Linked DNA regions of Xenopus tropicalis. The protein of the gene in region 3 purifies or fractionates together with the protein of the main gene of each other region. This does not show direct contact. Links are inferred from orthologs where the notes say so. Each region holds a gene or a part of one and is shown on either strand. Other genes may lie near its edges.

Evidence for each region. The genes of interacting proteins can lie anywhere in the genome.
Region 1: the proteins of med24 (region 3) and cdk8 purify together in Homo sapiens (affinity purification with mass spectrometry; 13 studies listed by BioGRID and IntAct, counting the BioPlex papers as one, with this or other methods). This does not show direct contact. The link is inferred for Xenopus tropicalis from reciprocal best matches to the Homo sapiens genes MED24 and CDK8.
Region 2: the proteins of med24 (region 3) and thra purify together in Homo sapiens (affinity purification with western blotting; 3 studies listed by BioGRID, with this or other methods). This does not show direct contact. The link is inferred for Xenopus tropicalis from reciprocal best matches to the Homo sapiens genes MED24 and THRA.

Annotation. Positions count from the first base shown.
Region 1 is NC_030678.2:155,758,950-155,762,676, forward strand, and holds the end of cdk8 (cyclin-dependent kinase 8), read right to left. Parts: intron 1,462-3,727; coding exon 1,336-1,461; 3' UTR 501-1,335; downstream 1-500.
Region 2 is NC_030686.2:9,072,152-9,075,651, forward strand, and holds part of thra (thyroid hormone receptor alpha), read right to left. Parts: intron 2,172-3,500; coding exon 1,966-2,171; intron 1-1,965.
Region 3 is NC_030678.2:112,529,724-112,533,223, forward strand, and holds part of med24 (mediator of RNA polymerase II transcription subunit 24), read right to left. Parts: intron 3,278-3,500; coding exon 3,135-3,277; intron 1-3,134. UniProt on the Homo sapiens protein: Component of the Mediator complex, a coactivator involved in the regulated transcription of nearly all RNA polymerase II-dependent genes.

The DNA of each region.
Region 1 (3,727 bases), about 43 Mb from region 3:
GGGGGCCGAATACTTTTGCAAGCCACTGTATGCATTGCCTTCACTCTCTGGAGCAGCCCAAAGTCGCCTCTCTGGGTTTCTTCGCAACATGTAGGTCTCCCTTTAAACATCTCCAATTTATACAGCATCACACTGAAAAAAACACAAAAAAAAACCCCCAAAAAAACCCCACACACAGATTGTTTTATGAAAAATAAATTTATTACTTAACACCTTGCGTTAACAATGTTGAATTCTTTTTTTTTTTTTTAATCAGAATACTTGTCATTAATGTAAAATAGTCTGATACAGTACATTGTATGTTACAGTTTTGTATCCTTGTAAATTCTAAGGCCTTTCTACCTTTTATTCTCCAACAGAGACGACCCTATGGATGAGGGGCGGGGCCACAAAATGAAAAAGAGGGAGTTGAATTGAAATACACTACACCAAGCCAGCTTACAGGATCCGGACAGGCGCCTCGACCCTCGCGAGGCAATTATTTCATTACCAATTTTTTCTTTTTTTTCTGTTTTCACTATTTTTTTTTTGCTTTTTATTTAGTCAGAACTCCATAGCATGCTCACAATTCAGCAACACCAACAGGGGGGAAAAACAAAACAAACAAAAAAAAAGTTGATGATGATCGGTTGCCCTTGTTTGCCTCTGCAAACAGGTTGGTATATTTAATATCAGATAGCAGCTTTAATACTAGTCAAGTTAAAAAGTCCTTAAAAACCTATGCTGAAATAGAATCTTTGGGAGGCTCGTAAAGGGGAAATAAAGGCCAAACGTTGCTTTTTTTTCGTTGTTGCTTTTTGTTTAGGGGGAAGGTGTCGGAGGAACAAGATTTGCTGGTTATAAAACACTGATGGAGGTGATCATCTGGTATCACCTGAAAACTATACAGAAAGAAACGTGTAGCAAACAGAACAGCAGTACGATTTAGCGTGCTGGTTAATGTCCATACCAGAGAAGACCGTTTCTTATTGGTCAGATCATATTGTGAGAAGTCACCATGAAAAACAAAGTGTTTGTTCCTAACATACTTCACAGCTTCAACTGCTACCATCACTGAAGAGAATATGCATTGGTCAGTTTGAACCATATTCAAGTAAACTATGGAAGTAGCAAATCCACGACTGCGCCAACTGAGCTAGCACTCTTAACCTTCACATGGGGGGGGGGGGGGTCTACATTCTCTGAAATGTTGTGTAACTTGGCTGCTGGACATTTTGAAGGTGTGGTTGTACAGTACATTCCAAAGCCAGGCTTCAGGCAGACAGCTACATGCTCAGTCCTGCAGCCAAAGCAACAGTGCATTGACTTTGTGATGTTGTTTCCCTTGGGTACAGCTCAGTACCGGTGGGTCTGATGGGAGTACTGCGGAGGCTGCTGGGAGGTAGACGAATACCCCATGCTGCTCTGAGGTTGTGATGTGCTTGGTCCAGGGTTTTGATAAGCAGCATGTGGATTGGAACGCTTCAAGGAAAAGTAAGATCACAAGGGAAAAAAAAGCTGTTATTTAAAAAGAATGGGGGGGATTGGGGCTCTATAGAACTGATAAAACAGATGATAATACAGAGTACATGTCTATAAATAATAATTCCATTCCTATAATGGACATTTAAATGCTATGGGTATTGAAATGTCAATCACAGCAGAGACAGCAGGCACTGAAGCAGAAAAATAACAATACTGCATATGTATTATTGCATTTTGTTCAAGTGTTGGCCACTGACGGCTGTATTTAGTCCTGCCCTAGGCACCAACCTCAGCCTGCCATCTCTGCCCTTTCACTGCCCAGTGTCTCAGGCTGTGGAGATTGTTTACCCCATGTCTTCTGTTTACCATATAGGTGCCCAAGGGCCACTTATGGTAAATACGGCCCTGTCGGCATGGGACAAGTAACCATGAGTGCTTTAAATGCAGTGCACCCTGAAAGCATGTAAAAGGGCAAGTTCACCTTTAGGCTACCTTTTAGTATAGAAATATTATATTATATCTCTATTATATCTCTTTTTGTTTTGGCAACAGTTGCATTCTTCTTCTGCTTTTCTTTCAAATGGGGGTCATTGCCCCAATCAGCCAAAAACATATTGCTCTGTGAGGCTACAATGTTATTGTTACTTACTATTTTGACTTATCCTTCATCTATCTCAGTGCTGTCCAACTGGCGGCCCCCCTCTGTGTGGCCCCCCACCTGTCTGGCTGCTTTGATGGTTTACCCTTGTATAAGCATTAAATGGTATCAGTACTGAGATTAACTGCCCCCTGCATGGTTCTCACCTCAGATTCAGGCTGTAATCCCCCTGTATTGTTTAAATATGTAATCCCCTGTACTGTTCACACCTTTTAATCTATGCATTGTTTACCCCCTGCAGTGTTCACACCTCAGGCTCAGGCTGTAATCACCCACATTGTTCACCTCTTCACACCTCAGGCCTGTGTGTAGGCAGCATAGGGTAGGCAGAGTATGGCACATAGGCAGCATGGGGCAGGGAGGGTATGGCACAAACAGGCAGCATAGGACAGGGAGGGTATTGAACACACAGGCAGGGTAGGGCAGGCAGAGTATGGCACACTCAGGCAGGGTAGGGCAGGCAGACTATGGCACACACAGGCAGGGTAGGGCAGGCAGACTATGGCACACACAGGCAGGGTAGGGCAGAGTATGGCGCACACACAGGCAGCATATGGCAGGTAGAGTATGGCACACAGGCAGGGTAGGGCAGAGTATGGCACACACAGGCCATGGGTGGGTGTGGTTTAAAGGGGGGAGTGGCTTCCATTAGTGGCCCTCCGCCATGTATGCGCGAGAAATTCCGGCCCTCGGCACCGCAGAAGTTGGACAGCACTGATCTATCTTATTCAGGCGCTCCTTTATTAACCTTGCAGTCTCTGCTATAAACCACTGTTGCTAGGCTTAACTGGACCCTAGACATTCTAAACTGGAGATGTGCTGCACTAATGCTAAATAATTCAAAAACCATAAAGGGAAAAAAAAAAACAAACTGAAGATCCACAGCAAATTGATGAATAAAAGTTAAAGCTCAATGATCTGTCTCTACTCTCTGCATTCAGAAGCGGCCAAGTAAAGCAGAGAACTGTATTTCCATTCTATTTCCAGTTAGTGCACTCTTGCCCAAATGCAGGGTGAATACAATGAACTCCAAGGCTCAGGAGCTCAGTTACCCGCAATGACTCTCTGTAAATCAAAATAACAAAGTGCACTAAGAGGAAAAACAACTGCTTTACTCATATCAAAATTACCTAGGGTTCCTATTTTTGTACTGAAAATGTGGTTTCCATGTGCAAGTGTAGCTTATAGATTTATTCCTACCATAAAAGAGCCAGAAAAAATACTTCCTTTAAAGTGGATGTAGAACAAAGCATTTAGTGGCATATTTATTATAGTGTTTACGCCAACATGACAGGTGATGTTGCCCATACCAACCAATCAGATCTTTGCTTTTGTTTTGTAACTTGTAGGTGACTGGTCAAATCTAATTGCTGATTGGGTGCCTGGGGAACACCACCGCTGATGTTGGCTTACACACTATACAAAAAAAAAAAAGTCCCTAAGGGACTTATGTAATAAAAGGCCCAGGAGCAGTAACATATAGCAACCAATCTGCAGGCAGCTTTTACTGGTTACTTGTTTAAAAGCAAACATCTTATTGGTTGCCATGGGTTACTGCTCTTGGGCAAACTCTGTGCCTTTAATTACATATGGGGGTTAGTGTCG
Region 2 (3,500 bases), on a different chromosome or scaffold from region 3:
CAGAAGGCAGGGCTATACACAGGCGCAGGTAACAGAAGGCAGGGCTATACACAGGCACAGGTTATAGAAGGCAGGGCTATACACAGGCACAGGTTATAGAAGGCAGGGCTATACACAGGCACAGGTTATAGAAAGCAGGGCTATACACAGGCACAGGTAACAGAAGGCAGGGCTATACACAGGCGCAGGTAACAGAAGGCAGGGCTATACACAGGCACAGGTAACAGAAGGCAGGGCTATACACAGGCGCAGGTTATAGAAGGCAGGGCTATACACAGGGAGGGAGATGGGTACCAGATTGTGCTAATATGTACCAAGGAATAGGAACCGCTAAGAACTGAGGGATGAGTAACAAAACGGACTGCTAAGTGCCAAGGAATAGGTTTTATAAATGTACTTCTAAGCACTAAAGCATGGGTACCCGACTGCTAAGTATCAAAATGGAATAATAAGCACTGAGGCTTGGCTACCAGGGCAGGCTGCTATAAACTGAGGAATAGGTACCAGTAATCTACTGCTAAGCACTGAGGGAGGGCCACCCTAATGGAATGCTAAGTGCCAAGGAATGAGCATTAGAAATGTACTACTAAACACTAAAGCTTGGGTGCTACACCGCTAAGTACCAAAACAGACTACTAAACACCAGGGCATGGGTGTACTGATTTACTGATGAGCACTGAAGCATGGGTACCCCAAAAGGCATTGGTACCAAAAATGTACTGAAGAACACATAGGCCAACAGACTTCTAAGCACCCATACCAAAACCGTATGGCTAAGTGCCGAAGCTGGGGACCCAAACTGACTGCTGAACACTGAGGCATGAGTGAACACAGAGACACTATAAAGGAATCAGACATATATTGGAGCAGAATAGAAGGAAATCACTCAGGGCAGGCATGATTATGCACTGCTGTACAGAAAGAAAAATAAGAGGAGGCACTGTTGCATTTGGCAAGAAGCAAAGACTTTGCTACACAAATAAAGAGCATAAAGGGCACAGATCTGTGCTGCAGCACACTGGTACAATTCCCTATTACACACAGATAATGACACCAGTAGCATATATACAGGGGTTAATAGCAGGCTGCATTGCTGCAGAGAGGAACATATACTAATTAACACAACACTAATTACAGGGTACTGATGACAGATTTCAATGCAGCACTTATAGGCATGGATGCCATACTGCTCTGCTGCAGAGAGAGTGAAAGGCACAAGTACCCCCTTGCTGGGCAGCATAGAGGGTGCAGTGTGTATCTACCCCAACTGCACTAAAGGACAGGGGAATACAAATTTGGGGCAGAAATATATGGCTACAATAAAAAATAAGGAAGACTGCACCATTATTCTGCACACACAGACCAGACGGTGCCTTTGACAATGCACTAAACTTGCTTTCTACATTGCCATCTGCGTGCTGACCTATGTTGAAGTCTAGGCAAACTCTTTGGAAACCCCGGCGCTGGGGCAGGGGGCACGAGCTGGAGGGCAACAGATGCTGCTTGCTCTCTCCAAGGGGTCACAGCTTCTCCATCTGCACAGGAAGTTCCCTTACGGAAATCCCAGGGATTCCCTGCTGTATCCTGCAAAGGCTACTTTACTACATAGCTGTGCATCGCCGCTCCCCGTTGGACTGTTCAAGGGGAGCACGGAGGGGAAATCAAAGGTATTAGGGTACCAGAATCAATAAACAGCTGTCTAGGTGCTCTATATAAGCTCTCCTATACCTCTCCCAAACATTAACATTATATATATCCCTGCAGTTTGCCTGCTCTTACTGAAACACTTTCCATTGTTAGACACGTCTGTTTCCTGTAATTATGACCAACTCCATATGGTCTCATTTTTAATTTATGAATAGCTCCCAAGCTGCTCCAACTTAAAACTCCACCCATGGCTCTGCGGCCCAGAACGATGGCCGCCATATATCTACTGTACTACATTGAATTCTTCATCAGCCTCACCAGAAACTTCCTACGCTGTTTCCAGTGGCTGCCCTGAGCGTTGGTGCTCCTGTGAGCTTCTGTTACGATGCGAATCAACTCCCACTCCTCTTTGCTGGGCTCTGGACGCTGTTGCAGAGTCTTGATCATCTCCTCCTTCCGCCGCCGCTCTCGATTCTCTTCAATCAGTTTTCGCTTGGCTACCCGCTTGGTATCATCCAGGACAACTGGGGAGATGGAGAGAGACAGACAGGGAGAGCAGTGAGAATAAAAGAGGTGAAGGTGAACAGAATTAAACGGATGAGGAGAAAAACATAATAGACTCAAGGAAACAAAGGCAAGCCAACATAAAAAAATAGACAGATTCCAGTGTGAAACAGGAATGTATAAGGACTGATATTGAAAAATGAGAGAAAGAGGGGAAAAAAGGCAGAGGGTGAGAACTCTGTGAGCATGGACATTGAAGGAGACATACTGTGTGGAAATTAAGAATGTGCCTGGGCATTATATTCCTCTAAACATGGTGAGAAAAGTAGCGTTTTGGGTTGATTTATTGAAATAACCCCCCCAAACCCTACTAGCCCTGCCCATCTGTCCCACTTCCATCCACTTCCTTTCCCAGGCTGTGCAGGGGGGCCGGCGGCACTCAGCACACTGCCCTGTAGGATAGGAACCAATCAGCAGCTAGGCTGACCTGATAGAGAACTGAAGCCCGTCTTTCCCTGGGTGACTGGAGGGCTGTGATTGGCTATCCCTCTCCTACTGTGCTTCTAGCATGGACAATTAGGACTCATCCACCTCTTATTTGGAACACTCACAGGGACCAGAGAGGATAATATTTAGTAAAACTGGCACCACTTATAATTCATTATTGCCTACAAGCTTGGAGGGGTTTACAGTTATACTATATGTCTCCGTTAAGATGTTCAGAGCAGTGCTGGATTGGGCCAACTAGGGCTCCTCCTGATATTCAGGCACAAACTAGCAACTTAATAAAGAAATCAGTGCAAAAATGGAAGAGAAGCTCTTGTTTTAAAGCCATGGATACAGCGTATGATTAGATAATCATGTGGTGCTTCAATAAATGCGCAATAAAAAACTGAAGCCTATAAGTATAAATGGGAACTCATCAGACATTCATCCGAAGGCTTGAGAAAGGATAAGTGCTACCTGATTTCCTCCATGACCCCATTGTTGGTTGCCATGTCAGTGGGTTTCTCCCCATGGATTTGTATGCAAAGTCATAAAAACACCCTGATCATAATGAGAAGTGTAAGTGGAATGCTGTATGCAAGGGTAACCACACAGTATTATAGACCAGACTGGCGTACATGGCGACCCAGCCACCATAGTTGACCCGAAACTGTTTCTTTTGGGAAGAATGGGCCTAAATTCCCCCAGGCCTATGGAAGACGCTGATGAAACGCTGAAGGAAATGTTTATTTGAAGTTCCTGCTGCTCTACAAGGTGCCACCGGTTGCTGAACGAAGGGTTTGCATACTTCATGCAGGAATATTTAGTGCTGAATAAATAAGCAAAATGTCTCCATTTTTGGT
Region 3 (3,500 bases):
GTATGGCATAAAGGCAAGAGTTCACAGGGCAGTTTTAAACATTTGGCCCTGCAGCACTCAGTGGCCTAGTGGAGAGAGCACAAAATGATCCAACACTCCCCTCATTAAAGGAAAAGTAACACTAAAAAATTTTTAACTAAAAAATCTATTCTACCCTCCCCCAATAATTGCCCTATCCTGAAAACCATTTGTGATTTTGAATGCTTTAGAAGAAAATACCTGTTAAACTCTGCTTCCTGTCATTTGAACAAAGGCGATACGGCAATGCCGGGGAAAGTATCAGGAGATGCATGAACTATGCAGTGATCGACTGATCGAGCCTAGCCTGACTCCTTCCTATACAGAAGTCAGGCTAGGATCGATCAATCGATCACCGCATAGTTCATGCATCTCCTGATACTTTCCCCGGCATCGCCGTATCGCCTTTGTTCAAATGACAGGAAGCCAAGTTTTTTTTACAGGTATTTTCTACTAAAGCATTCAAAATCACAAATGGTTTTCAGGATAGGGCAATTATTGGGGGAGGGTAGAATAGATTTTTTTAGTTAAAAAATTTTAGTGTTACTTTTCCTTTAAGTTATGGCAAATCCCTGCCAGTGTGGGTACACTCGTTTGTTAGACCATTGCTGTTTGAAAATGCTGAGCACTAAATGTCCAAGAGTCAATTTTAAATGCCACAGCACCAACAAAAAGTGTGTGGATTCATTACCACCCAGTACCCAGACACACAGGCCAGCAGCAGACGTGATAGCTACGCGCACCCATCCCAAAGTAGTAATAGCCATTGTGCATCCCTAGGAAACAATTATGTCAAGTAAAAGAAAAACTGACTCCAGGTGCAGGATGTTCAAAGAACAGTGGACCTACGATTACTTTTTCATGCAGTGCAAGGAGAGAGCGGTTTGTCTGGTATGCCAGGATTCAGTGGCTGTGTTCAAAGAATGAATTTGCGTTGACACTACGAAACTCGACATATAGGATATCTATGAAAGGTTCACCAAACTGTGAATGATTTGGAGCTGGACTGGGCTAAACTAGCCAGTGAGACAACTGATGGTGTTCCTAGCATGGTGGGGTCTATGACCAAGAGATGGACAAACACAACCATTCGCGTCCAATAGTGATATCCTGCCTCATCCATCAACAAGCGCTGTGATTTACTGTGATCACTGAAGTGCAACTCATAAAGTTGTGGTGTACTGTGTTAATTTCATTAGGGCTCGTGCCGTAAACCACAAACAGCTTCAGGAATTTCTCTCTGAGCTGAATGTTGCCTATGAAGATATTATGTACCGCGCAGAAATGTGCATCGAGGGAGAGTTTTGAAATGTTTTTATGCCTTACTTCCACGGGTTTCTGCTTTTCTGTACCAGATGCAGAATGGAAGTGGCACCTTGCCTTTCTGACAGATGTAACAGCGCTACTCAACAGTTTCAATGTGCAACTTCAAGGAAAGGGGAAGCTCATCTGTGATATACATTCACATGTGAAAACATCTGAAGTAAAATTGGACCTCCTTATTAAAACAAGTAAAGGAGGAAAACTTCTGCCATCACCCCACTACGCAAAAGCTGAGAAACCATAAGAAACCATACCCAAACAAAAAATGTGTGGATTCACTGGAAAATGTTGCAAAGGGAGTTTTAACATACAGCTTTTACAGAACCCATTTTCAATTGACATTGAAATTGTTAATCCGATTTACCAAATGAAACTGGCCGAACTACAGAATTGTGACTCTCTGAAAGACGTATTGAAATCAAGCAGCCTTACAATTTCTATGCATTTCTCCCCTCTGAGACATATCTTAATCTCAGGAATCATTCACTCATAATGACAACCATCTTTGGCAGCATCTATGTCTGTGAACAGACTTTTTCCAGAATGAAACATCTGAAATCGCCAACCAGATCCAGACTAACGGATGAACACTTGCATCACTTGTTATGACTGGCAGTGAGAAACATGGAACCGGACTATCTCATCAGCCAAAACCAGGTCCATGCTTCCCATTGAAGTCTATGTTTGTTAAAATTGTTTTTCATTTTAAATATTGTATTGCCCTTTCATGTTTTTTTGCACTACAAATAAGATATGTGCAGTGTGCATGGCAATTCGTTTGTGGTTTTTTAAAAAAAAAATTCAAACTATAGTCCAGCAACCCAACAGTCTAAGGGAAAATGAACTGGCCCCCTGTTTAAAAAGCTTGAAGATCCCTGCATTAGTATATTAAAGGAATACTATCACGGGGAAACATATTTGTTACAAAACCCATCAGTTAAAGGAGATTCTCCAGCAAAATCCTGCATTGAATCCATTTTTCAAAAACACAAACAGATCTAACATGGATTCTAATTTTGAAATTTCACATGGGGCTAGCCATATTCTTCATTTCCCAGGGTGCCATGTGACCTGTGCTCTTATAACCTTCAGTCACACTTCACTGTGGCGCTGCAAGTTGGAGTGATATCTCCCCCCTCCCAGCAGCCAATCAAGAGAACAATGGGAAGGGAGCAAGATAGCAGCTCCCAGTAGGTATCAGAATAGCACTCAATAGTAAGAAATCCAAGTCTGGCTTGGGACTCCTCCAGTTACATGGCAGTAGGAGAAACAACAAGTTACCTGAAAGCAGTTCAAATGTGTAGCGCTTCTGAAAGCTCAGACTTAGGGACACTTTATTGCTGCGCTGCAAGTTGAAGTGATATCCCACCCCCAGCAGCCGATCAGCAGCCGATCGGAAGGGAGCAAGATAGCAGCTCCCAGTACGTATCTGAATTATTTGCTATGTAAACAGTGTCATTTAGAAATAAAAAGTACACCATAAAAATCATGACAGAATCCCTTTAAAAATAGTCGAAGGTGATTATCTAACCCAATGTACTGTTTACATTCTGGCATGAAAAGAACACGCTTGTAGAACCAATGCCAAATGTTTTATGTTGTTTTATGTTACAAATGCAAAATAAACACCTTTGAAAAAAAAAAAAAAAAAAAAAAAATAGTTGAAGGTACCATGAACTGACGAGTCGGAGTCAAAAGTATTTATGTACCGACTGCACAGAATAAACACCTATAGCTTTTCCATATTGACACAAACACTTCAACTGCCTTCAAAATGTTATTTTAAAACTTACTGTATGAATTTGCGGGCAAAAGACTTCAGTTTCCCAGTGGCTGCCGCTGCGGCCAATAGCAAGTCCAGGCTCTTGCCAGACAGCATATGACCCAAGACTCCCAGAAGACCCTCTGGAGACTTTGAATGGTCAGCATCCATTGTCTGTGAAATATAAGATCATCACAACAGAGTAGGAGGATTAATATGTAATAAAGGCATAGCAGCTATCACTTATAATAAGGAAACCTGACCTGGATTACATATAAAATAAAAGTGATAAAGACTGAATCTGTGGTTACCCTCAGATAAGAAAATGAGCAGCTGGGCATCATATATGCATTTGCTGGCCGCAAATACTGCACGACCCCCATATGGCAAACTGCTA